Linked DNA regions of Nothobranchius furzeri. The protein of the gene in region 5 purifies or fractionates together with the protein of the main gene of each other region. This does not show direct contact. Links are inferred from orthologs where the notes say so. Each region holds a gene or a part of one and is shown on either strand. Other genes may lie near its edges. The genes, in order: dnajb6b, dnajc7, luzp1, hsf1, bag2, edrf1 and dnaJ homolog subfamily C member 13.

What was found.
Region 1: the proteins of bag2 (region 5) and dnajb6b purify together in Homo sapiens (affinity purification with mass spectrometry; 4 studies listed by BioGRID and IntAct, with this or other methods). This does not show direct contact. The link is inferred for Nothobranchius furzeri from reciprocal best matches to the Homo sapiens genes BAG2 and DNAJB6.
Region 2: the proteins of bag2 (region 5) and dnajc7 purify together in Homo sapiens (affinity purification with mass spectrometry; 7 studies listed by BioGRID and IntAct, with this or other methods). This does not show direct contact. The link is inferred for Nothobranchius furzeri from reciprocal best matches to the Homo sapiens genes BAG2 and DNAJC7.
Region 3: the proteins of bag2 (region 5) and luzp1 purify together in Homo sapiens (affinity purification with mass spectrometry; 3 studies listed by BioGRID and IntAct, with this or other methods). This does not show direct contact. The link is inferred for Nothobranchius furzeri from reciprocal best matches to the Homo sapiens genes BAG2 and LUZP1.
Region 4: the proteins of bag2 (region 5) and hsf1 purify together in Homo sapiens (affinity purification with mass spectrometry; 3 studies listed by BioGRID and IntAct, with this or other methods). This does not show direct contact. The link is inferred for Nothobranchius furzeri from reciprocal best matches to the Homo sapiens genes BAG2 and HSF1.
Region 6: the proteins of bag2 (region 5) and edrf1 purify together in Homo sapiens (affinity purification with mass spectrometry; 3 studies listed by BioGRID and IntAct, with this or other methods). This does not show direct contact. The link is inferred for Nothobranchius furzeri from reciprocal best matches to the Homo sapiens genes BAG2 and EDRF1.
Region 7: the proteins of bag2 (region 5) and dnaJ homolog subfamily C member 13 purify together in Homo sapiens (affinity purification with mass spectrometry; 3 studies listed by BioGRID and IntAct, with this or other methods). This does not show direct contact. The link is inferred for Nothobranchius furzeri from reciprocal best matches to the Homo sapiens genes BAG2 and DNAJC13.

What each region holds. Positions count from the first base shown.
Region 1 is NC_091747.1:47,486,495-47,489,063, reverse strand, and holds the end of dnajb6b (dnaJ homolog subfamily B member 6b), read left to right. Parts: intron 1-1,265; coding exon 1,266-1,375; 3' UTR 1,376-2,069; downstream 2,070-2,569. UniProt on the Homo sapiens protein: Has a stimulatory effect on the ATPase activity of HSP70 in a dose-dependent and time-dependent manner and hence acts as a co-chaperone of HSP70. Plays an indispensable role in the organization of KRT8/KRT18 filaments.
Region 2 is NC_091745.1:16,064,866-16,068,365, forward strand, and holds part of dnajc7 (dnaJ homolog subfamily C member 7), read right to left. Parts: coding exon 3,482-3,500; intron 2,282-3,481; coding exon 2,168-2,281; intron 2,054-2,167; coding exon 1,979-2,053; intron 1,871-1,978; coding exon 1,752-1,870; intron 1,603-1,751; coding exon 1,449-1,602; intron 1-1,448. UniProt on the Homo sapiens protein: Acts as a co-chaperone regulating the molecular chaperones HSP70 and HSP90 in folding of steroid receptors, such as the glucocorticoid receptor and the progesterone receptor.
Region 3 is NC_091758.1:27,128,022-27,132,247, forward strand, and holds the start of luzp1 (leucine zipper protein 1), read right to left. Parts: upstream 2,801-4,226; 5' UTR 2,599-2,800; coding exon 2,467-2,598; intron 2,402-2,466; coding exon 148-2,401; intron 1-147.
Region 4 is NC_091759.1:9,321,637-9,325,634, reverse strand, and holds the start of hsf1 (heat shock factor protein 1), read left to right. Parts: upstream 1-1,198; 5' UTR 1,199-1,517; coding exon 1,518-1,649; intron 1,650-3,131; coding exon 3,132-3,240; intron 3,241-3,367; coding exon 3,368-3,504; intron 3,505-3,998. UniProt on the Homo sapiens protein: Functions as a stress-inducible and DNA-binding transcription factor that plays a central role in the transcriptional activation of the heat shock response (HSR), leading to the expression of a large class of molecular chaperones, heat shock proteins (HSPs), that protect cells from cellular insult damage.
Region 5 is NC_091752.1:19,643,860-19,648,011, forward strand, and holds the start of bag2 (BAG family molecular chaperone regulator 2), read right to left. Parts: upstream 2,801-4,152; 5' UTR 2,547-2,800; coding exon 2,422-2,546; intron 2,238-2,421; coding exon 2,128-2,237; intron 533-2,127; coding exon 138-532; 3' UTR 1-137. UniProt on the Homo sapiens protein: Co-chaperone for HSP70 and HSC70 chaperone proteins. Acts as a nucleotide-exchange factor (NEF) promoting the release of ADP from the HSP70 and HSC70 proteins thereby triggering client/substrate protein release.
Region 6 is NC_091752.1:32,210,973-32,215,006, reverse strand, and holds the start of edrf1 (erythroid differentiation-related factor 1), read right to left. Parts: upstream 2,801-4,034; 5' UTR 2,727-2,800; intron 2,622-2,726; exon of another isoform or gene 2,478-2,621; 5' UTR 2,430-2,477; coding exon 2,328-2,429; intron 2,150-2,327; coding exon 1,941-2,149; intron 1,504-1,940; coding exon 1,437-1,503; intron 1,347-1,436; coding exon 1,221-1,346; intron 1,142-1,220; coding exon 1,017-1,141; intron 937-1,016; coding exon 789-936; intron 662-788; coding exon 560-661; intron 484-559; coding exon 362-483; intron 54-361; coding exon 1-53. Other genes in the region: si:ch1073-143l10.2 (autophagy-related protein 16-1), read left to right, coding at 3,452-3,539, 3,609-3,672, 3,748-3,832, 3,915-3,988. UniProt on the Homo sapiens protein: Transcription factor involved in erythroid differentiation. Involved in transcriptional activation of the globin gene.
Region 7 is NC_091747.1:45,068,596-45,072,095, forward strand, and holds the end of dnaJ homolog subfamily C member 13, read left to right. Parts: coding exon 1-18; intron 19-107; coding exon 108-182; intron 183-253; coding exon 254-366; intron 367-452; coding exon 453-622; intron 623-701; coding exon 702-744; intron 745-824; coding exon 825-998; intron 999-1,075; coding exon 1,076-1,255; intron 1,256-1,323; coding exon 1,324-1,464; intron 1,465-1,543; coding exon 1,544-1,687; intron 1,688-1,778; coding exon 1,779-1,878; intron 1,879-2,019; coding exon of another isoform or gene 2,020-2,075; exon of another isoform or gene 2,076-2,124; intron 2,125-2,493; coding exon 2,494-2,591; 3' UTR 2,592-3,113; downstream 3,114-3,500.

The DNA.
Region 1 (2,569 bases), on a different chromosome or scaffold from region 5:
CTGAATGCTTCATAATGGCGGCTTCGTTAGTTAAGGAGGCAACCTTTAATTTCACCGAGCATAGTTCCTGCTGAGATGCGAACAAAAGAGCGTAATTCTCTCACTCAGATGCACAAACAGCTCGAAAATGTCTCCTCAGAGAGCTTAATTTACAAGTTTTATTCCTGTAAACCTGAGTTTAAGCCCAAAATCGGATTATCTTTACTAACGTGTCATTAATTAGTCACAAACGCGTGTAAGCGGGTTACAGATTTATCAATAATTGTTGCAAACTTGATCCTTTATCATCTGGATCTTCTGGTAATAAAATAGCTTAATTCCAACCATGCATATGTTAAAAAATGACTTTGTATTCAAAGATTTGCATAAATAACTACCATTTTATTAGAAAATTCTGAATAAAGTTCAGTTTTTTCACTTTCAATCACAGCAAAGAGGCGCAAAGTTAAACAAAAAATCACACAATTAGAATTCTGAGAGGGTTGCATTCTGTATGAATGTTCATTATGAACGTTAATCTAACTAATCAGCTAGAGCAAAACAACAAAATCAAAACAGCCTCACAGCCTGCAACCAGCTCAGACATACATTGATTGTGTGCAAAATCAAAAAGTCAAATCTCAAGTTCACTCATGCAGCAAACCTTCCTGCTTCTAGTCAACAAGCAGAATGTAAATAAGTGAGTTACTCTTATTTTCTTTTCCTGCTGCAGCTACAAAGATAAATAAGTAAATAAATAAATAAATAAATAAAAGACTGGATTAGTTTAAAAATGTACCTGAAAACCATCTGATACCTTTTCTGTACCATGTTTAGTAAATCATGCGTATGCATTAAGATTTACTTACTGACATAAGTATTTTTATTTTTGTACCTTTTTTACACAAGTTTGCTTCTAATTAGGACAAAAAATACATGTACTGTATCCTGAAAATGGCATTAAAACAATAACTAACAGGACTGAACTCAATACATAATTTCATATCATATAAAATAATAACAATACTACAATAATACTACTACTAATAATAAAAATTGGTACTTACCACTTGCAGTGCCATCATCCACCAGAGAGCAGCAGACAAAATAATGTACTAATCCTGATAAAGAGATAGAGCTAGCAGAAATACAAGTTATGATTACAAATTAGATTTATTTTAGCACTCACATAATAATTTAGGCCACAGTAAAAGGAATAAAAAGAAAAACATTTAATCACAGCTTATAAACATTCTTAAATGCTTTCTTTTTGTTTTACTTTGAAGGTCACATGGACTCCAAGAGAAAGAAGCTGTGGCTAAAGGAGGCAGACTCCAAAAAGAAACGATCCGCTCGACTCTTCCCTCGATTGAATGGATTCGGCACCTTTTTCTAAAACACCCGGCAGGTATAAAAGTAGTTGTGTTGCAAAAGAGCCGTCGGCTACATGTGGCATTAGTATGATTTTTCTAAAATCAGAGCCGACAGCATCGCTGCTGCATCAGATCTCCTCCTATCTGCAGTATAAAGCTTAATTCATACCTGCTTTCATCAGCCATACAACACCACAACAGCAATTTTTATATTTTATTCTGATTGTAGACGCTGCAGTGGTTCGCTTGTTGCTGTTGTTGTTGAAGCGTTGGTCTTCTCCAGGAGGCCTCCAGATCTTAAACAAATCTCTAATGACTGAACTGATTTCTGCAGCTTGCTTTTTAGGCTCTTGAAAATGTTTGGCTGCAAAAGAGAAATTGCCTGATTTGAAATAACCATGAGATGTTGAGGTTATGGCATGTGAGAGACGATGAAGGTCAGTCTATTTGGTGCAACAGGCGACTTTGAAAGTTTCAAAGAAATGATGCTCAGTCCTAGTACTTTTACCAGTATTGCACCTTTAAAATGCAAATTTTAAAGATTTTTTTGTAGCCTAATCAACAACACGCTCTTTTTGTGTTTTTGTAAAATACAAACTCATTTAGGATCTTCTGACAGATCGTTCTTGTAATAAACTGCGTTTAGATGTGGAAATGTGAGACAAATGTTCACATTTTTATGGACTCTGACAATAAATACTTAAATAAAACAAAGAATATACTCATCGTTTTGTTGTGTAGGACCACATTTTATCACCAGGAGAATAATCTCAGGAAGACATCAAGCTGCTGAGGCAGTTGTGATAAGATATCTGCTGTTACAGTTCAGCGGGTGTTATCAGCCGCCTGTCCTGTGGGCCGGAACATTATTACTTCAAAACAGTGGCTGTGTGTCATTACAAATCAAGATTGAAAAAAGAGGAGAACAAATAGATTTTAGCCTATTCCACATGTCTTTGTCTAACCATGAATGAGATGTTTTTGATTTAAAGGTGCAGTGTGTAAGGATAACGTAAGAATTTTACAGTGATATAATCCTAAAACAGTCTAATGTCTCAATTACGTTGGAAGGAAGGTTATACTCAGACATATTTCATTCTCAGCCGGCTGCTGGGGTTGTCAGGTTTTCTCCTTTCAAAAGTCTGTGGGAGTGTGGGGTTGCCGTGTCTCCTGCGAGCTAGTGTAGTTTGTAATTCGACTACAGCTAGCAAAAAGCA
Region 2 (3,500 bases), on a different chromosome or scaffold from region 5:
TGCTCACACTGTACGTCTGGTAGCAACACGTCGGCCCTAAAAATGTGCTAAAAATAGCCGTTTTTACTCAACACGTCAGACTTTTTTGTCTTGCCTGTTGTCCTTCGGGAGTGCTGCAGGAGGACACACAGGGATTTATGGGGGTTGGATGAGGAAACGAAATAAAGAAAGTGAATCTGTGTTTTGTGATCAGTTTAATTTGGCATGAACACGACAAACACGCTTTCTTGACAATCTTTGCGAGTAAAAAAACGTGTAGAAACAAAAACGAACAGCGTGTTATTAGGGAAATAGCGAGCGACCGGCCGGTGTTGATGCAGGATTGCGCGCGCATGCGCCGTGAGCGGTTCTGATACTTTTTGGGTCGCAGCTGCTCGCAGCGCCGCTTCAACAGTGCGATACCCTCACGAGGGACGAGCGAAATATTAAACACACCAGAAATCCCTGCGACCTCACGACTGCTGATCGGCGGCTGGTCACGTGGTGTTAATCGCCTCTCGTAACCCCCTGTACACTACACGACCGCTCGGCGCAAAACTCGCCCCGATGTCGTGGATTCTCGCACGACTGGAAAATCGGCTCAAAAAAGTGAAAAAGTCGCACAGTGTATGCCCGGCTTTACTCTCCATGCATTTGGAGACTCAGGGTAAAATGTCTTCCTTGTTGTCATGTGTGTTTATTTCAGGTTCCAGGGTTATGGAGGTTAAGTATTATCTACCAGATAATTGCAGAATGCAGGTATACAGAGCAGGTGAGGATAAAGCTTTGAGGCTGAAGCAGAGTGGGGGCTGGTTGAGCCACACACATGGACATTACAAATAATCAATTTACTCTCTCTCTCTCTATCAAAGGGTGTGTCGTCCTTTAAGGTAATATGGGATAAAATCAAATTACCTAACAACATCACATTGTAAACACACTAGAAACATGACTGCAATGATGGCAGGATACCCCAGAAAAGTGCTGTCCTTGCAGAAAATTGCTCAACATTGACGCACCAACAGAGAAGTAAAAAAACATCTGTCAATACATGTGTGTGTGTGTGTGCGCACGCACAAACTTGCTGACGGAGAAGTATAAACTAGCCATAATTAGCTACCGTTAGTCTTCGTGTTCAATGATAATGTTACTGGTTTATGTGAATACATGTTAAAGCCACACACACACACACACACACACACACACACACACACACACACACACACACACACACACACACACACACACACACACACACACACACACACACACACACACACACACACACACACACACACACACACACACACACACACTGTAAATCGATTTGAATTGAGACTCGATTCTGGATCGAATCATCACCCTGCGGGTTGTTGAGTCATAACCCTACTATTCAATATAAAACAGACATTTATCAAATAAATAAATCATTCAACAGTTGGACCACTACCTAATTCTCATCAACTCACTCTGCAGGCGAGCCGGGCCTTGTCGTGGTCCGGAGCCATTCGCAGGGCCTGGACAAAGAACTGGACTGCCTTCTCTATACAGTCCTCGTAGTACAGACAGAGACCGCGAACATACAGAGCGTCTGCATTAGTGGGGTCCATTCGCAGGATGTCACTGAATTGAGGCAAACACATGAAGTTCTGTGATTTTCGATCTGTATTTAATTTAAATCTGATGGAGATTAAATCCAAAAACCTCTGAAGTACACATTTCTTAAGTGCTTTTCATTTCTCTTACATCAGGTTTCGATAACGCACTCCTACCTGGCTACAGACTGTGCCTCTGGGTATCGTCCCAGCAGGGCTAAACACTCGGCCTTCAGGATCTTAAACTTGTGACAAGCTGATGCACACTCCAAGGCACGGTCCATACAAAAGACAACCTGAGAACAAACCACAGCGTTCTTGTGTTTGGGCTGTCTCATGTTTCATTCTCAGACTCTACAACACAAGTCAAATGAATTTGCTTAAAGGCTAAAAGAGTAGTTCACCATTCTGAAGTCTCTCTTTTCAAACCCGATCTCTGCCATCCTCTCGTACTCCAGGATGGATTCTGCGTTCTTTAGCTGCAAACGGATCAGCAAAAATCTGGCATTTACCCACGAGGCCTTTCAGCAACACTGACGGCTTCTACAACAGAGGATAACCTAATCAGCTCTACAAATCAGAGGCTCACTCACCTCCTGCTGGGACTGACTGTTATCCGGCTCCAACTCCAGAACTCTCTGGAAACAGCGGCTGGCAGCCATAGCATTACCAAGACACAGGTGGCACTTGCCCTCTCGCAAATGTCCCTGTAGGAGAGATGCACGTCTGCCATCTTAAAGGATATTTCAGACATTTAGAATTGTATTCCTGCATAAATTCTACATAATGACCATCTGCACTGTTGTAGATCACTTCCTGAATAGCCTCACGTTAAAGAGTTTAGGTCCTCCACAGTTCCTGAACAGTCTCTGGTGATCTGACACCAAGCTCTAATGAAGAGACGCTCCTGGAGATCTGCATCGCTCCAGTTTATCATCTCAGCTGGTTCTGTTTACAAAAGCAGAACTTATGGCCCATGTTTACTCTCATCATCAATAGGTTTTCCTGCCGGAGCTCGGCAGTGACTCTCCACGTAATCATGACACCTCCCTCTGTTGCGCCAAGGCACAATATGCATTCACCTATTTTCACCTATCGCGGCCAGGTCTGGAACGCATCTACCGCGATAAACGAGGGATCACTGTACAGGAACTGATTTAGACTTGGGATTACACTACATCCAAGCACTACTATAAGCCACTGCTGCAAGGTGCAAGGACATGGCACACTGACCACAAAACTCACCGGTTATTGTCATTGTGGATATCTACTGTCACAATTATAGTAATTCATAATAGCCCCCAAGGATTTAGAGTAAATACAACATTAGCACTACCTTAGTAAGGCCTACAGGGGTACTTTGTTGTAATGTAGTCCCAAGTCTAAATCAGCTGCAAATCCTTTGTGGTATTATTTTTATTTGCAGTCAGTATGATTATTGAGGTTCACACCAAAGGCTAGCTGTTACCATTAACTCATTTATGCTAAGCTAAAGCTAACAGAATACCCACAGATTAGGTGAGTGTCTGGGCTGATTAAAAACTACTTTTTCTCCATTGATTCAACTCTGGAGAAGATGGCAACAGATGAAATGTATTTTAAGGAACGGCATCCCTTAGTCTGAACGCATCAAACATCTTTTACATTGGTGGGATTTAGCATAACATTTATGCTCATAAATACCCACTGAAATAAATGAAAGCTGAAGGTGGTGCAAAAGGGTTAGAAAGTGAAGCTACACAAACTCTTTAAGATGACAGAAAAACATTTTTGTCGGATGCTTGAACTAGCCATTAGCTCACCAGTCTAAGCCAGTCAGGAAGCCATCCACATCTCTCCATACCCACTGCAGAATCACATTTGAACTCAACAAAAACTCAGACAGTAACTTCTTATGCACACCATACCTTCACAAAGGCGTTATCT
Region 3 (4,226 bases), on a different chromosome or scaffold from region 5:
GCTGCATGACCCTTTATTATAAACGTTCTACATAAAAAAACCTTTCAAACAGACTTTAGCAAGAATCTGTGCATTACTAACTACTGGATCAACTAGTGTGAATGAACCAAATCAGTTTGGTAATAAATTACTGTATAAAACACCTACCTATAAGGATGTTACTGGTAGACGTGTGGCGTTCTTTAACAGGCAAAGGTTCGCTGGACAAGCTGCTGCTGCGGCTGCTTGTTCTGGAAGACCCAGGGTCGTTTGGGTAAATGGTTATGCTACTGGTCATTTTACTGGTGGTGGTCACTGCTGGCTTGGTGGAGATACTGGGTTTGCCGTTTGTAGACAAGGACTCAGAAATCATCAATTCCTTCCTGTCAATCTCAACAATGGCGGGCTTGATGATGGCATTGGACCTCAGCGCCTCCCGAGGGCTGCACACTCTCTGGATTTCCATCGCTGACGGAATGTGCACGAATCCCTGTTGGCCACCGTCCGAGGACTGAGTCCTACTGTGCAGCTCTTCGTCAAATGAGCTCCTGGAAGAAGAGCCCTCTGAATGAGAGTCATGGACATGTGGGTATCTGGCATACCTGGGGGTTGCAGTCCTACTGCTAATAGTTGCACTTGTCTCTGTGACGGGTTCCACTTCAGATGGCCTTGAGCTGATAGATTCGGTTTCCGAAGCAGAGGAATGACTGTCTGAGCCCTGATCGTTGACGAGCAGCGGAGAGATGCGAGACCTGTAAGCCGCGTACGATCCGTTGGCTCTGGATGAGGTGGATGCCACAGACGCGGACACGGATTCTTGAACCAGGTCTACAGACTCCTGATCCGAGGCGGACGCCACCTCCTTCTCCAGCGCGGAGACACTGGAGCTTTCTGGCACTGCATCAGAGTTGTTTGATTCGCTATCACTACCAACGTAGAGCTTTGAAAACTTGTCCCTGCTGTTTTTCAGGTCCCCATCAGTCTGTTTGTTCACAATCTTCTGTGACTTCTTGTCATTAGCTGCTGGAGGGTAGCGACTCAGAACAGACAACTTCTTAGCATCATTACAAGTGGAGTTTAGGGAGCTGTACGTGGCTCCTCGTGTCCTTTCCTCAGTAAGCCGTGCACCATCTTGTTTTCCAATTTCAGACACAATTGCAGCAGCTGAGGTTTTGGGTGTCCTTCTGGTCTTGATAGCAGGACTGAGGGCTCTCCTCGTAGACTTTGGAGATCTCTCCTCGGTGTGGCTGAGCTCTCTGCTCCTCAGTTTGGTTTCTCTCTTGTGCTGAGGGGAGAGCTCCCTGTTCCTGTGCTTAGGGGAGCTAGGTTCTGAAGCAGCTGCAGCGCTTCTAAATTTAGGTTTCTCTTGTCTGAAAGCTCCCTTCACGATCTCCTGATTCTCAGCTTTGCCATTTTCAAGGACCTTAGCGGGACTGTTCGGATGAATACTGCTGCCTTCACTGCCGTGCTTTTCCAGGTGACTGACCCCGTTGCCTCCAATCCCTCCTTTTCCGAACAGCTGCGTCCTTAGCTGCTCCACCTGTTCACTTAGTTGACGAGCTCGATTTCGTTCCATCTGGAACTTTTCGTGAAGTTCTCCATTTTTAAACTCTGAGTTCTTCAAGTCCTCCTCCACTATCTCCAACTGTTTGAGGCGATTTTTCAGCTTCTCCAATTCCTGCGTCAGCTCCTTTACTTTGTTGTCCTCTTGTGAGCCGCCAAGACCGCTCATCTTCTTCTTGTCCGATTTGTTGACGATGCTGATGTTCTCATCTAGTTTTAAGGAGTCCATCTTCTTCTTGTATCCAGCCAGCTTACTCGTGAGGGAGTAAGTGGACGACAGCTCATCCTCGATTCTTGAACTCATGAAATCTGCACGCCCTGGCTCTGTCGATATGCCAAGGTGTTTCTTTTTTTCTTCTGTCAAATTTAGAATGGTTTTCTCATCCTCCTTCTGTTTCTCCAACAGCCTCTTGCGCTCACTGACAAAGGCCTGAGTGTATCCCTTCAGTTTCTCAAGCTCCATAGCCAAAGCCTGCTCTGCTCTTTCTAGCCTTGTTTCAGAACCTTCCACTTCCTTCAAACGAGCCTTGAGCATTTCCAGCTCAGATGAGAGCTTCCTGGTCAGGTTTTTCTCCTCGTTGAGGCTAAGGCAGAGCTGGCTACAGTCAGACTTGCTTTTATTAAAAGCCTCTTCCAGTTTCTCTAGTTCAGCCATCCTCCGCTGCAGACGCTCAATCTCTGCCTTTAGCTCCTTTGTGAGGTTTTCCTCCTCTTCCAGTTTCTCTCGAACTGTGCGACAAAGGTCCTCAGCTTTGCGTACTTCCTCATCTTTGCCCTGGATCTTCAAGAGATGTTTCCTCAGGGTTTCTACATCGCCAAGGAGTGATGAGTTGCTGCCCTCTGCTTGGATGATCTTGTCCTACGAAGAAGAGTTTCATTAATGTTTACATCACTTAACTCGTCTCATTGTCAGCCAGTACCAACCTGCAGATCCAACAGCTCATCCTCGGACTTCTGCAGCTTGTTTGTCGCTTCTTCCAGTTCATCCAGTCGTCTGCCGAGACTCTGAAGCTTGTGCCGTAGGTGGCGATGCGTCATGTCTTTATGATCAGACATGGCTACAAACGTCTGTGTAATGTATCGGTTGGGTTGGTTCTGCTGTCGGATTATTTAATGACAGACTGATGGGGGTTCCACATCTGTGTGGCAGTGACAGAAAGTCCTAAAGGCTCTCAGGGAAATGCTGTTGCCTCTTTGCAGTCTGGCTCTTCCAGTTGTTCCAGCTGTCTCTTCAAGTCGTCAAAGTTTCCTCAGAGTGGTGTTTAGCAGACAAATCTGTCATCAGTAGGAGGGAGAGGAAATAACACTTAGTCATTCCTGGTTTGTTAATGACAATCATTTGCATTCCCAAAAGTAGTTATGTGAGCCAAGCAAATGAGTCAAAGACCATAGGGATTTGCTTGCACTGTATCCTGTTAACAAACGAAGCAGTTACTCCTGAGTTTACCTAGGCAAATTAGAAGAAGTCTACCATAGTGAAATTGCTGCTGTAATTTAAATGTTTCATTGAATTCCACCTGGTGAGTAGCGCCTCATTCTCTAAACAACCAAATAATGCATCAATAAAAATAACACAAATACATTTTATAACATAAATGATAATAAATGTCCCTTTGAAGAAGAAAAGATGGGAGAAGAAAGAAACAAAGGAATCTTGAATGATTTAGATATTTGATGATTTAAGAGCAGCTGCACAGTGGTTAGCGCTGTTGCCTTGCAGCAAGGAGGTCCCAGGTTCACATCCCGGCTTGGGGTCTCTCTGCAAGGAGTTTGCATGTTCTCCTGGTGCATCGGTGGGTTCCTTCCAAGCATAAGTATCTGTATAAGAAGCGCCAAAGCCGCCTCCACCTCCTGAGGAAACTGAGGTCCTTCGGAAATCCACTCTGCTGTGGTCTGTTGGGGTGCAGGCATCTCTGACCGTGACACGAAGAGACTGAACAAGCTAGTTCACAAAGCTAACTTGGTTCTGGGTACAGTTGAATAGACGTGTGAGAGGAGAATGCTGGGGAAGATGACCACCATCCTAAAACCCCCCTCCCACCCACTGTATTCCACTGTGGAGACCACGGACAGCTCCTTCATAGGCAAACTGAGACATCCCAGATGTAAAACAGAAGGCTACTGTAGCTCTTTCATCCCCTCTGCTGTACGAGTGTATACGTTTTACTGGCATTATCCTGGTACACAATAACACCAATGCGATATTCAGTATGTGTTTAATACCGGATTTACACTGCATGTCTGTGTCTCTTGCAGTATGCTGACTAGTGCCGTGGTGGGTCAAGAAAATTTCTCCCACACAACTGGACTAGGATATTGTTTTTACGGTCTATCGTCTAGAACCCATCTGCCCCATTCTCTTCTGACATCTGACATCAACAAGGAGTCATCGTCCACACAACTGCTGCTCTCTGTAAACCCTAGAGATAGTGTCTAAGTCTTTTGCCATTGAGCCTCCATGTTTTTCACCTTGCCTGTCCTTCAAAGGGCCAGGAGCAGCACATCTTTCAAGTGTGTGTGTGTGTGTGTGTGTGGTGGGGGGTGTTAGCCTTGCACGAACAGACCCCACACGCTTTGTTCCTTCCCTGCTCCTGTAGACCCACATCGATCTGTGTTTTGCTTGCCTGCTTTTGCTGACAGCAGCACATCTCAATCACGCATACACTCCTCCATAGCAACAGCAG
Region 4 (3,998 bases), on a different chromosome or scaffold from region 5:
TTATTATTAGTAGTATTAATATTAATATAATATTTATTATAATTTTTTATTGTGTCTTGTTAATCTTATAAATCCGGTTGTTTCTGCTGATTAGAATATTTCTAATGGTCTAGTTAAAAGGTTTTTGGTTTATCTACTGAGTTGTTCTTTCTTTTTTGTTGTTGTTGAGTTTTGGTTGTTGTTACAATATAATGTGATTGATGTTCACAAAAAAAAACTACCCACTTAAATTCTTAACAAATATTTTGTGTAAATACCCAAAAGCCTGTGAGAGATAAATTCCTAATTATATACGCGTTTATGTTTCTGTCCTGTGCCATATTTGACCACAGAAAACATTTTCTTTAATTTGCACAAAAAGAAAACCTTAATCTTGAAATTGGTCAACTAATGACATAACATATCAACAACACTACTGTTTGAAAACAAACAAGCCCAACAACTGTATTGTCAGACTGACCAAAAACAACATTTCTGTATGATTGCAATGAAGTTTATGATGTGAATTAAAAGCAAAAGTTAACAAATGTCGATCAAAATCAATTTATATAACATAACAATGTTGTAAAACAACAATAAAACATCAGACTGCAACAATAATTTTTACTTTAAACAGATTATCATTAGGTTCTTAAAAATGACTGAATGTGTTGATTAAATCGAATTTGTGAGTGTCTCCATCCATGTGCAAACATAAAGATAACGTGTCACCAAAAATTGGTTCTGTTTCGTTCCCTCCTGACTGCCAGTGGCAGTAAACAGAGTGGATGTCCTCGCGCTCTGCGCAGGTCGAGTAACTTCCGTTAAATGGGCTCGTAAAAGGTAATATTTAATTGCAAATAAATGGTTTACGGCATAAATGTATGGCAACATCTGGTGTGAAAATACCACAGGTTCAAGATCAGGCCCCTGAAAATTAACAAAATTTCAAAACAGGCACTCATCTAGAATTTACAACCACGAGGGCAGAGTTCAATGCCTTGCCCAAGGACACTTAAATTTGAAATGAAAACACCTGGGATTAAAACATCAACCTATCGCTAAGAAAAATGACATGTCATGCAAAATAAAACACAAAGTTTATATTTATTTTAAATGTGTATTTCTCTGCTTTTGACCCTGCCATTTCCATTCCAAATTAAAAACAATCCAGATATAGCTTTACGTCACACCGCGACCGAACGTTCACTTTACGTTATGTCATGACGCTGCGAAAGAGCGACAGCCATTCAGCCAGCTACGCAGTTGTTTGTATTATCGGATTTGTTGGAATTTTCCACTACGGAGTTTGTTTAGAGTAAAGTTAGAACATTGGTCTGTGGACTAGCCGACACTAATACCACTCCAGATCGGGGTTAACTTTTCGAGATGCTCCACGAACCCTAATCTGGTTTAGTGTCGTAGTTTATTCGCTTTTTTGTGTCTGTTAGGAGTTGATGGGGTTAACAGTAGGCTAACCGACTTAGCATTGACATTAGCTTCAGGAGTTTAGTGTACGTTTATCGTCTTTTATTGTAATGGAATATCTCGGAGGGGGTGGAGTGACCGGAGGAGTGGTGGTGAGCGGCGGAAACGTGCCAGCCTTCTTAACGAAGCTGTGGACCCTGGTAGAAGACCCGGAGACCGACCCTCTTATCTGCTGGAGCCCGGTACTCATGTTAGGCTAGCCTAGCAGAGCTAACTGCTAATTACTCGCAGAGCACTTGAGACGTTATTCTTATCAGAGCGAAGACTCCAGGGAGAATGTTTTTAAAAAGCGAGTAAATACATTAGTTTTTTTTGTTAGTTTGTAATATTGATAAAATGTAATATCACAAGTTAGCTGTAACAGCTGCAGGTGGATTTCTGACGGGCTAACATTAGAACTGTCTGGCGCTCTGGATTTAGCCATCAGGTCCTCAGAGAGTTACTCGTGTTCGGCTGGTGTTATAAATTTGACGTATACTGGGGACCAGGTGTTGACCTGCTGTTGGTTATGTCAGTGAAAATGAGCAACCAAGTTAATTTACTTACATAGACCTCATGTTACCTACTCAAGGCCTATTTTTATGTTTGACTTGTAAAACCTGATACAAGTTTTCTAAGAACTCTAATGTGGATTCATATACAACAGTTTTTACGTTAACAGTCAAACCATACCGTAAACATGGTATTGTTGTTGTTTTTTTGCAGAAGTTTTTAATTCCTCAGTAATACATTTTCAATTTATATTGTTGCTAGTTGAGTTAACTGACTGGGTTTCTAAAATCCTCTACAAATGCTCATCCAGCTTAAAGATCACATTAGAATCATAGTTTCTGTCTAATAAACTTGCTGAAATGTATATCTATTGAAATTGTGATTATTTGCCCGAGTTTGGAAACGCTTTGCTTTTATTTCTTCTCTTTAGCTGAAATCACTGCTGTGGCTCATCAAAATAAGAGCTTCAAGTAACAAAAACACACAAAGCACCTCTCAGCAAGGCACACTATACTATATTATAAAATGTTCATTTTACTAAAGCCTTCTGTCTTACTACTATAATATATATTTTTAATTATTACTTTCAGAAATGTATACGTTGGTCACCAAAAGTCTTGTCAAGGCTCAAAAGCCTTCAAATATCCAGAGTTCACAGTTTAAGAAGACAAAATATTTTTTACTTTGATTAAAAATAAAATCACTATAGACAAAATTAAAGGGCATAAAGTCTGAGCTATTGAGGATAAGATTCAGACATAAGTTTAAACATGTAGAAACCAACTAATTATCAAACACGTTTGTTTTATGAAAAATGGGACAGATGCAAAAGCAGAGAAGAACTGCAATATTTCCCAAATAAAACTGAATAAAACATCAATTTGCAAAAAGCTTTGCAGGAATATTTCCCTACTGATTCTAATTCACACAACAATAGTTGAGTTTAGATCACCGTGGCAACAGTCTGCAGTCAACGGTGTAAGCTGATCTGCAGACAGCTGCAGTTCCTCTCTCCACCGTGCCGACATGGTAAAAAGTTTATTCACAATTTACGGGTGTTAAAATGTCAAAATCTAGTATTTTTTCTTGTAAAATTCTGTTTACTGAATCTTAAATTGTTTGTTATTATTGCTCTATTGACACGACTGATTGCTCTGTGTTCTGTATATCAGAGTGGAACCAGCTTCCATGTGTTTGATCAGGCTCGCTTCTCTAAAGAGGTTCTACCAAAGTTCTTCAAACACAACAACATGGCAAGCTTCATCCGACAGCTCAATATGTGTGAGTATCAGCTGTCATCAACCAACTAAACCAGCTCTAGTTGAGCGGTCTCTTATTATAGTTTCAGGACTAATCAGGAACATTTATTTAACCAGCTGCTGCTTTGTTCTATTCTGCTGATGTCCAGATGGTTTCCGTAAGGTGGTGCACATTGAGCAGGGTGGTTTGCTGAAACCCGAGAGAGACGACACAGAGTTCCAGCACCCGTTCTTCATCAGAGGACAAGAACACCTGCTGGAGAACATCAAAAGAAAAGTCACAAATGTATGGTAACGCAGAAGCACTCAGATCAAACGTCTGGTGCTTTTTGACAGATTAGTTCTTTCAAAGTAATCTAGAGGTAAAGTCTTGTCTAGGTGCTAAAAATCTGATTGACTTGGTTAAATGTTAATAAGAAAAAATCAAAAGGATTTTGACAACATTAATTATCAATAATTAATATTTTAGAGAGAAACTTAATTACAAATAAATCCATTCAAGATCATCTCCATCCTAACCAGAAGCACAGACTGTTTAATGTACAGATAAACTCCCCGCAAATCCCAAAAAACTACCTCTCAATGACACTGAAGTTGGATTTAATTTTACATTTTTCTTGTTTTCTGTATTGAAATCTTTCTAAAATAATCACAGAGTCCTGTAATAAATCTTTGGAGCAGCTGTCTATAACGCTATGAGCTCTGACTGTCTTGCTTTTCCCTACGTTTGTGAACACGTGCAGTTAGAATGGACACATCTGATATATTTGGTAATGGTTC
Region 5 (4,152 bases):
AATTCGGTATGGCATTTTCCCATAAGACCTCTCCTTGCTGCTTCAAGCAGAGTCCATCTGAAATTAATTAAATGTGTAAAAGCTAACTATAGCTTTCTGTGAGGTTAGTGGAATTCAAGACACCTCGGCAAAGGGTCTCAGTGACCCCCGTTAGCTTTTGTGCCCTCCAGTTTTTGGTGATCCATTATCTTGATGTTCTTTTCGGCATTTTCAACGTTCCTCAGCAGAGTCTCCAGCCTTCGCTTTATCTTCTTCTGGTCCTCCAGAGCGCAGCTGATCACCACGGTCTGAAACTTCTGGTCAATAGGGACGAGCGGTGCCTCCGTGACGCAGGCAGCGTGCAGGGCCAGCAGCTGCTGACGGCCACCTTCCATGTCGCTCAGCAGCTTTTTCACAATCTCGTCTATCATAGACGTGGCCTTGAGTAGTGCATCCTCCTGTTGGGGGTTTCTGATTGTGCCAACAGAGATCTCCACAGACAACGTTCGGCCCATCAGACGGTTCGCAGTCAAAGATAACTCTTCCCTCTCACCTAGAAGACATGTAAACATATTACTAAATCTTTATAGGAAAGAAACTGCTTTTAATGCGGCTGTAACAGCACATCAATAGTCATTTCATATTTCTAAAAGTTTATTTCAATGAGTACAAGCTCTGATTTGTCTGAGATCCCACCCCACACCATAATACTGCCCCCACTGAAACCTGTTAAGCAATATTCATGATGTTCTCCATGATTCTGCCAACTTGTCAATAATAACAAGCTGACACCAAAATACCACTGATATTAATTGGAAGAAATGAATGCAATAACATTTCCAAACATATTTTTTATTGGGATGGACGATGTTTCTCTGGAGCATTTTTTGCCATATTGCTTGTTATGGTCATCACATCGTACAGCAACCAATAAAGTAAATGCTTTGTCGAAAAACTAATAATTTTCATTTCCTCTGAAACATGCAATCCCGTTCTTAATGACTGAATCATGATCCATCCATCAAACTCCCCTCTGACAGTCCCTCCGCTGTATGCGCATACCCGTATTTGTGGATGTATTGCGCATTCTTGGCTTAGAGTAGTTGAACAGGAAGCAAAGTCGGAGCCGGACTGCCTAGTGTTTAACGGACAGAATGTTCGGTTATGTTTGCAAATTTTATTCAAAGATTAGGTTATAACTCATCTTTTCTTGTCATCTAGAATCTTCTGGTGCTGATCTGTAACAGGCCCTTTTGCGCCATGAGAATCTATCGTGGCTGCAGGAACTGAAGTAGGGATAATCCCAACCCACCTCCCCACCTAGTGGACACTTATATTGTGTAATGCCTGAAGTCTGTTGCATCTCTGTCGGAGGTGGGTGTTTTTTTTTTTTTTGCATAGCAAAGCTGCCTTCCCAGTGGAGGGTAACTCTGAAGTGCCTTTTTTTCCCTCCACCTGAACCAATCCTCATGTAACCCTCTGATCTCAATTAGCACGACTCAGGGTTGCGAATGACCACAGTCACCAATTCTTGTCATATGTCTTGCCCATGTATGTCTGATCTCTGAATTGTGTGTACTGAAACTCTAATTTCCCTCTGGGATTAATAAAGTATCTTTGATTTGATTTTGATTGACACTCACGGCAGTGACTTTTGCTTACAAATGTGGTCTGCAGTAACCAAATTTGACCACAGGATGTCAGTCTTACATAATGCACCTTTACATAAAGCCCTTCTTTCAAATCCCTGACCAGTTGAGAGGAGTTTCTAGGTGAACCATGGAGCTCGTGTGAATCATACTAACTTACATTAATGAGGTTTAATGGAGCATAAACCAACATGACTAGACGGTCTACCCTGGTCAGACTCTGGATTTAAATAATGAGCTTTAAGGGTTAGGCCTTTTTGTCTGTTTACAGCGGAACCAAATCAATAAACCAGATGTAGGCTATTGACTCACACGATCCAGAGGTGAAACATGAGCCTGGTTCACACAAACTGGGTCTGGGTGAGATCAGAGGAGATGGGATTCTGGTAGAAATACATTAACCGTACTAGTTCCCCTTTATAACCGCGTATCTTCCCTGGCATTAAGCCGTGCGTGACTTTTGCGCTTATGTAAGTTAAGAGAGAGTTAGCAGCTTCACCAGCACAGATGTTCCTCATTTCTTGACTGTTCTGTATGGACTGAATCATTTCCAGGATGCACTCCCTTTCCTGCTCCATGGCAGATGCTGCTTCTCGTAAAGCCTCCACTCTGACACAGAAAGAGAGACAGCATATGAAATAACACGCTGCAAACCAGTTATGTTTGTTATGAAAAACATTTATTGTCACATTGCCCTGTTTACAGTGTTTATAAAAGGTTTATGCCAATAAATGTTAGCGGCCGGGGCAAATAGCGGCTCCGTAGCACACATGGTACAACAAGGGCCTGTTACCTCGTTTCCAGCTGATCCAAACTTTCCAGGAGTCGCCCCGAGCGGTCTGCCATAGAAAGCGTCCTGCTGAACTTGCTGCAGAGGGCAGCTTCGTTCATTTTCGCTTGTATTTTCGCTTGAGCCATAATGAAGACGAAGATGATGGCTACAGTGCTTTCCCTCGGTGAGCGCAAAATCCAGTGTGTGTCCCTCCGAGCCGTCCAGCTGGGTGTAAATCCTCGGACTGAGGCAGGCAGCAGCAGCGCCCCATGGGGGGAACATTTCCTAACATGGACTTCCTTCACTCCGGCAGAAAGTTCCCGAGGAGACCAGAGCTGGAGCTCCCAATCGTAAGGAGCGTGGACCAGCAGAGGTCCGTGAGCAAGCTCCTCCAGGTCCACGGAAATAAAAGACCTATAATGTTCCAACTCACTTTGCAGTTTTAAGTAATGTGTCTTGATTTATTTGGGCATAATTTTTATTAGGCAGATTGGTAAAGTAATCAAGTTATTCTGATAAACTTATCCAGGCCTATATATATATATATAATTCATTTTCACTCCAGACTACAGATGAAAGCCTGTGGTGGTCTGCAACCCGCAACTCTGGAGCCACAGTGGACCTTCCAGAATGGCTTTTACTTTATAATAATCATAGATATAATAGAAAAAGTGAGATTTAAGCAGCCTTTTGTTATGGATTAATTGAACTGAATTCCCACAACGCAGTGACACCTGTCATCTAGAGGTGAAAACTGCATTACACCCCTAGGCCTCTCAGTTTCCATGATTATGGCCTTTTTATGAACAGTCATGTTGTGCTGTTTATCATGTATATTTTAAAGACTTACTTGTCCATAAGAAATGTTACCAACTCTGCATCAGTCTGGGCTCGTCTTCCCTCTGATCACCTCTCCGTCCAATCTTCTTTTCGAGCTCCCCATGTGTATGTCGTTTGATGGCTTCCGGGGGAGCTGATTACCCTTTTGGGGGAGCCGTGATTTCAACCTCCCCCAAAAATCGCCAAGAAAATTTCAAAAAGATGTATTGCCTTGGTTATCACAGTACAGGCTTTTATGGATTAAAAGAAAATCATAAATAATTCTTGGAAGGGGGGAAACTCCAGGTTGCTGCTTTAAAGTACCCATGAGATTTTTACATCTATTTTTTAAAAATAATTTCCCTAAATATAAATATCTGGTACAAAAAATACATTCATACACTTTTGGCAAAAGTTTTCTTCCTAAACTCAAAATCTAATAGGAACAAAATGGTGTAAATATTTATGAGACGTCTAACCTTAACCTCAGAATTCTGATTATTTTTCCCTCAGAAAAGAGAAAAAGAACTTCTTCTTCAGTGGCCCTAATCCTTTTATGTAAATAGTTCAACAATTATAAAGATCTTGTTTCAAAAGGTCCTGTAACAGTTACCCATGGTCCAGAGAAGCTGTGGTGGACGTCCCTTAAGGTGGCCACCCTAATGCGTCATTCCCTGTTTTGGGGACATTTATAGAAATGATTAACAAGAATTATTTTGGGGAAAACTACATCCACACAAACAAGGTGATCCCAAACCGACACAAGCAGATTTCACAAGCTCTTGAAAAAAATTCCATCTGTTCATTAGAAGTTACCTGTTAAACTGTAAATCAGCACAAGTGCATAAAGGCTCCATCTGAAAACTTCACCAATATCTGAATGAAGTGTAAATCAAATTTAATTTACACACACACAACTACCTTTTATGTGTT
Region 6 (4,034 bases), about 13 Mb from region 5:
TGTCCAGCCAGTAGTCGATGCCTGTCAGAACGTTGATTGGTTTATTGCTGTCCCTGAAAACAGAGAGAGAGTCCAAAGTGAGGGCTCAGCAGCCATGTGACCATTTAATCAGTCAGACTGAGCAGCAATAATGTGTTGGAGAGGCTGCAGCTGCTGCATTCTCACAGTCAAGTGAATTAGAAAAAGACTTGGACCCTCCATAATAATCTCAACCCAATGCATCTTCCTTTCTGCTGGTCTGTGCATGTTACACACACACACACACACACACACACACACACACACACACACACACACACACACACACACACACACACACACACCAATGTTTATTTGGGATAAAATGGCTCAAATATCAAACCTGAGTCTCAAGCTGACAGCAGGATAGCGACCGCCTCCGAAGATCGGCATGTTGGACCCAACTAACATGTGGATATCCTCAAACGTCCACATGATGTTTCGTACAAAATCGTTCCTTAAACCCTGTAAATGATCACATAAAGTACAGCGTGTATGACAGCACTCATACAGTAATAACATTAAGATGTTTTGCATTTACCTGACTGTTTTCCCCTTCGTTAAAAAGAGTGGGGAGGTTTTGCTCTTTGGGTACCGACGTCACCTGACCCAGAGCAAACGTGCTGTCCACAGAAACGCTTTCCTGCACATTTAACAGCAACAGTGTTTCATTCTTCTAATAAATTCTAGCAACTGTTCCTAACCGTGTCTATTATTGAGACAATAACCTGACATAAACACCGACAGCATTGTGTGTGCAGCTCAGCTACCTGTTTGGGCATATCTGATTCTTCTGCGTCAGACATTGTGCTGGTGAAAGTGGCAGGCCATGTGGAGCTGTACTCCTCGGCTTCATTCTCCTCATCTTCTTTATCAATGTCATGTGACACAGGCTCTGCAGCCCCATCACCGTTTATGCTACCAGAGACATAGATTATTTATACTGAGAATGATGCATTAAGCTCAAGTCAATCAATGAAGCAAAGCTATTTACTCACCTGTAGTAGAGGAACTTGGATAGGATGGCTTTCTGGTACCAGTTCTCTTTGCTCTTCTTTTTTCTTTGCCATTTTTGATCTATTAGTCGCTGATAAATCTCTTTGAGCCAGGTCCAATCCCTGGTCTGTACAGTATAAAGCATGCTAAAACATGGTCGTGTAAATAAATATTTTAAAGAAGCTAAATGGAAAACACATTTTTACCTGTGAGGATCTGCGTAAGAGTTCCTGAATGTCCAACTCGTCCAAAAGCAGCGTCCTTCCAACGCGGTGAACAGCCATACTAACATGCGACTTGCTGTAGGGAATTTTCAAAAGCTTCTTGATGTTCTTAAATGAAACATAAAAACAAAATTAACATCAGCTGTGTGTAAATTTCTGAAAAAGAAAAGGATTCAATTGTCTTAGAACATCACCAACCTCAGAGTCTGAAACCACATCAACATCATCTCCGATGCAGTCAATGAAGTCATAAGCCATCCCAAAACTGAGGAAAAAGGCAAAAATCGATCCATTACATTTGTTTGATGATCAAATAATCTCAAGCTGAAATCTCTTGTTATTAGCACTTCAGACAGGGAGAGATTATAGGGTTTGTTTACATATATATTTTCATTAAAAACTGCAACATGACATTTTTAGACTATTTCGTTTTTAGAATATGGTCGTGTAAATAAATATTTTAAAGAATATTTATATATATATATATATATTTTTTTAAAGAAGCTGACTATGCTGCACACAGGCATAAGGCATAACTAGAGACGTTTGAGAAAGAAAAAAAAGAGTTTAGGTTTGGCACTGGCACTTATGCTTCACAGCAAGAGATACAGCTCTGCAGTCACCTCCAGGCTACCAATATTTAGCTAAATTTGACAGGACAGGACTCCTCTTCGCAGTTAATTACTCAGATACCATTTTTACCTGGAGAAAGGCTTGCACTTGCTGCTGGAGCCTAACACAGTGGTACCAGCACTGCCCAACTGAGGGTTTTCTCTCAGCCAGTTGGCAGGTGGCAGCTTCAGGTCTGTTTTCTCCTGCAGCAGGGCGTAGGTGGTAGGAGGTGGTGCAGCAGAATACTTGACGACAGCACAGCTTTTTACCTCACCATTGCCTAAGCAAACTGCAGACTCCTACAAAATAAGAGTCATGGTAAAAACAAAGGAACACACTCCACATTTGAACTCACTGACTAAATGTTGAATAATTACTCCAGGTAACAGTAAATAGCTATTTTGATGGATAGTCTTACATGTAACGATTTATTGACTGAAATAAACTGTCATAACATTCACTCGCCAAGTAACTTACATGTTTGCTGTAATCTCCTGTGCTGCTGGAGCCACCAATGTCTTCCCTAGCAGTGTCCCAGGGCATCCCAGGCTCTCCGTCCCCAGCTGTTGATGAGCTCATTCTGGTAAGACGACCGCTACCCCGCAGTCATAAGCCGGTTCCTAATCACTAGAGAACACGTTTACAGTTTAGGCAGTACATTATCTCGAAGGCGTACGGTATTCGTGAATTTCACCGATAAATTCACCGTTAGCTAGTTTAAGCTCCAAGAAAGAGTAGTAACGTTAGCATGAAAAAAAGTGTCAATAAGACTCGGCAATTTAAACTAAAGCTACCAAACTCTCAAATGAGGACGTATTATTGCGTTTTTAGTCCAAAAACATTTTGTCAACAGTAACTTCTGTCACTAGCATGTACCTTCTTTCCATCTGCACACGACTGTGTACATGTCTGACGCTAGTTAACGGAGACGAAACAACTTCCGGTTTAAAGTCATGGGCGGTAGGAAAATTTCTTATTTCCAAGTTTTTCGGCAACATTTCTGTCAAGTTTTGAAAATAAAATACAAAAGTATGCTCTTTCAAAATAATAAACCCAAATTCTGACTTAACAAGCAACAATAACCCCCTAAATATATATTTTTATTAATTGAACGTGAACCGGAAGTACCTAGAAAGGTTCTTTCTAGAACTTTTGAGTGTGTTCTGTTTTGAAGTCTTTTACTTTGAAATTGACAATTAGAAAAACACGTGAAGTGTTGTAGAAAGGAACTACACAAAATTAAAATGTAGTATTTATTAAATGTACTAATTCATTTTAATGAAATAATAATACAACGAAATAATAATACAAATAAACAAAAGTAAATAATAACATTATTATGGCATTCCATTGACGTAACTTTTAGGCCTACAGTGAGTTTTATCTGGGTGTGTTTTCCATTGAGAGGTGATTCGATTTAAAAAGATTTGTAGATTTGGTCAACTCCGCAGAGGAATGTCAAGCAGCTGCGTTAAAATGGGGCGGAGCCGTTAACGTTGCTGACAGACCCAAATTCTTGTGCTGATTACTTGTCAGCTGCTACTTCGTGACCTTATTTGAAAAGCTTGTAAAGGAAACAGTCAGAATATTAACAGAGAATTATGGGAAGCTGGAAGAATCACGTTCGCGCTCGACTTGAGCAGAGAGATTTCAAAGAAAAACATCCATTTATTGGAGTCTTCTCAAGCTGTAAGAGTAACGTTTATTTTATATTTAATTAAAGTAATAATGTTTTTATATTGTCAGATTTTTTTCTAGTGTCTCAGCTGGAGGAACGTTTGGAAATTCGAGAACAGATTTGGGAGGATATGCATGATAAGAGGTTAAAACAATCTTTGGTCAAATTTTGTATTTAGTTTTTTGCATGACAATTTAAACGTATTGACTATATTTTTAGCGTGGATGGAGGTGAAGGGGTAACAGGAAAAGACACCCAGCTCATTCAACTGCAGCTTAAAGAAAGTGAACACTTGGTCCACAAGGTGAGTGAAATCAGCTGCAATCTGGAAAGGAAAGGAAAGGAAATATTCTTCTTTAATGATGAATGCCATTTTTTCTCATCAGTTGTCTCAAACTGTCTCTGATCTGACCTCTGTCCTGTATTTGAAAGAAGCTGAGCTACAATACTGGCAGTCATGGTACTTTTTAATCTAATTTATTTGTAGAATCCAAAAACACAAAGAA
Region 7 (3,500 bases), on a different chromosome or scaffold from region 5:
TCCATTCACTTCCCTCCAGTAAGAAAATCCAAAAGTATCTGAGCTGACGCCTCTGAGCTGTGATTTACCTCTGAGCTGTGATTTAGACGATCTTTTGTTTTCTCTAGGCAGGCAGATTGTGCTGGAAACCCTCCACGCACTGACTTCTAACACAAAGATCGTTAAAGAGGCGATGGCCAAAGGTCAGTCGTTCTTTCAGCTCCTGAAACATTCACACCTGTCATGAACTTGATGAGATCTCTCTGTCCCCCAGGTGCTCTGATCTATTTGCTGGACTTGTTTTGTAACTGCACACACCCCCAGGTCCGCACACAGACCGCTGAGCTGTTCTCCAAGATGACCTCCGACAAGCTGGTTGGACCGAAGGTCAGCCTGGATGCGCGTCCTCGAAGCCTCTGAGAGCGTCACACCTTCACTAAATGACCCTCGTCTTTGATTTCTGACTCACTTAGGTGCGTTTGACTCTGATGCGTTTCCTCCCGGGCGTATTCATGGACGCCATGCGAGATAACGCTGAGGCTGCAGTGCAGATCTTTGAGGGAACGCACGAGAACCCTGAGCTCATCTGGAACGACACCTCCAGGGAGAAAGTGTCCACCACCGTCAGAGAGATGATGCTGGAGTGAGTCACACAAGCTGAGACGGTTTAACCAGCTGTTGAGAGCAGGAGGTGATTAAAACGTGTTTGTTTTATTATTTAGGCACTTTAAGCAGCAGAAGGATAATCCTGACGTCAGCTGGAAGGTACGTGTGACATCACTGTAGTTTATTGTCGGTGTTTAGTGTTGCTCTGCGTTACAATGACCTTGCGTGTCTCTGTGCAGCTGCCAGAGGACTTCACAGTGGAGTATGGATCTGGGCAGGGCGAGCTCGAGGTCGGTGGAGTTTTCCTACGGATCTTCATCGCCCAGCCTGGCTGGGTGCTGCGAAAACCTCGGGAATTCCTGGTTTCCCTCTTGGAGACTTTGAGTGAGCTGCTGGAGAAAAATAACCCCAACGTGAGCCTCAGCGACACAAATCATTCTTGTTTTTCTGAGTTTGTTTACTCATGTATCTGCTACGTGGCCTTCTACAGGGTGAGGCTCTGGAGACCATCACCACAGCAGCAGTTTGCCTGTTCAGCACTCACAGCCACCTGGCGGATCAGGTTCCTCCTCTGGGTCACCTGCCCCGCGTCCTGGCAGCGCTCAACCACAAGAACAACACCGTGCCCAAGAGCTCCATCCGCCTGATCCACGTCCTGTCGGAGAACGAGGTGAGGCCATAAAAACCATGTTTGCTGTGCAGCTTTGGCCAGACACTCATTTTGAACCTGACTTGCAGCTGTGTGTGCGTTCCATGGCGTCTTTGGAGACGATCGGCCCTCTGATGGCTGGGATGAGAGTCCGCGCCGACATGGCCGGACTGGCGTGTGAGGCTCTCAACCGAATGTTCCAGAAGGAACAAACGGAGCTAGTGGCTCAGGTAAATCTGTCAGGTTTGGGTTATGCTTCCATTTTGTTGGACTTTCCCTTCAATAACACATCTAGTACCTGATCCACAGGCTCTGAGGGTGGAGCTGGTCCCATACCTGCTGAGGCTACTGGAAGGAATCGGCCTGGAGACGTTGGAAAACCCTTCAGCTACCAAGGCTCAGATCGTAAAAGCTCTCAAGTCCATGACTCGCAGTCTCCAGTATGGAGAGCAGGTCTGGATAAACGACCTCGTGTCATCGCAGCAACAAAACAAAACAACGTCTGTTACTGATTAGAAAACTTTTTCTTTTCTCTCTTTTGCAGGTAAACGAAATTCTTGCAAAGTCTTCAGTCTGGAGTGCCTTCAAAGACCAGAAACATGACCTTTTCATCTCAGAGTCCCAGACTGCAGGCTACCTGACGGGTAACTAACCAAAACATCACGAGTGTGGCTGAGAGCTGAATCCTAACGCTTTGCTCATAAAACCCTCGGCTGTCCTTCTCTGTCTTTAACTTCCTGGCTCTGCGCTTCCCTTCCTCCTTGCCCTCTCCATTTCCTCCTCAGGGGTTTCCACTCCGTCTCTCCTGGCTGCCAGCAGCCCTCTGCGAGGCGGGCTCTAGACTCCAGAGCCGGGGCCTCACAGCCCTTCTCTCTCTTGCTCTGATGCAGGTAGACTCTCACCTGACTCCTAGTCCCTCCTTCTTTACGTCCTTCATTCCATTTTCCATTTCTCCCTCTTCATCTCACCGTGCCGAGCAGATCATAACCACCTGAAACTCTCGTTTACATCCCAGTCGTGGGAATTTAGTGTTTACCGCTAACGCAAAGCAAAATCTTAACAGAAAAATTCCGTGTCTGGATTATTTTTTGTGTTTATTTTGATTAATTTAGTAATTTTTTTGTCTTGGTTTGGGGTGATGCTTTCTCGTGCTTTCTGAAAATTCAACAGATTTTTAACCCAAAAGGTCCTCAACAGCCTTGTTTCCTAGCGTTCCACCCGTCTGGCCTCTGTCTCACGTGTCTCTGTTTGGCCTGCAGGTCCAGGAGTTGCGGGTTACCTCACAGCAGGAACTGGAACCACAGTATTGTCCAGCGTCCCACCCCCTGTGGACAACAACGTCGGAGATCAAGGCTGAAGGACACCCCTCACACAGTCCCGCTACAGCTCCCAGACTGCCCTGCAGTTTCACCGCCACAGCTCGGAGAAGGACTGATCTGCTCCCCAGAAGAGAGGCAGGGGGACGACCAGTGAGAGCAGTCCATCCCAGACTGTCACCAAATTCTCCACAACACCACCTGCAGCATCACTCTTCTTTCCTCTGCTTAGAAATGACACTCAAGTCTTCATTGATGCTTTCTTTTAACAGATGACCATGTTTTTGTGCTTTTTCTTTGTTTTTGTTTTTTTGACAGAAAAAGGTTTACTTTTTGTATGAATATATTTTTTCTCTAGAATTTTTTTCCGTCATGAGAAAGAAAAGAGAAGACCAAGACTTGTGATGGAAGCTGTTGTCTCCTCTCCATTCATATCCTGACTAAAACACCTGGTCTGAGGAGAATGGGCCTAGTTTGTGCACTTGACATTGCTGATCTCTTAGATAAACATTTCCATGTCTGTGTTAAAGAATTCCATCATGAAAACAAAAGAAATGAGAAAATGAATCCCTAACGTGTCTCATTCCTTCCCTCTGACTGAAGCTGGTTGTTCTGGTTTTGTCGCACAAACCTGCTCTAACATTTCAGCCTTTCATTCCTCCCACCGGCTCTGCTCACTCTGTGAAAGATCGTCTTATTCGCTGCCTAAATCGTTTTAAGTAATTCTTTCCCCAGAATGCAAAAAGCACTAGATTATTTATAAGTCAGAATATTAAATGAATAAAATAACTGAAGGAAAGGAGAGTCTTCTGACACGAAGAATGACTTTGATTTTGAATCTATGTGAAAAACTAGTGCAATTTGTGAAATGTTCAATGTAATATTGCATATATAAACTTTCTATATTGAATGTACATTAAAAAAATCAGTCACAGTTGTACATAAAATTT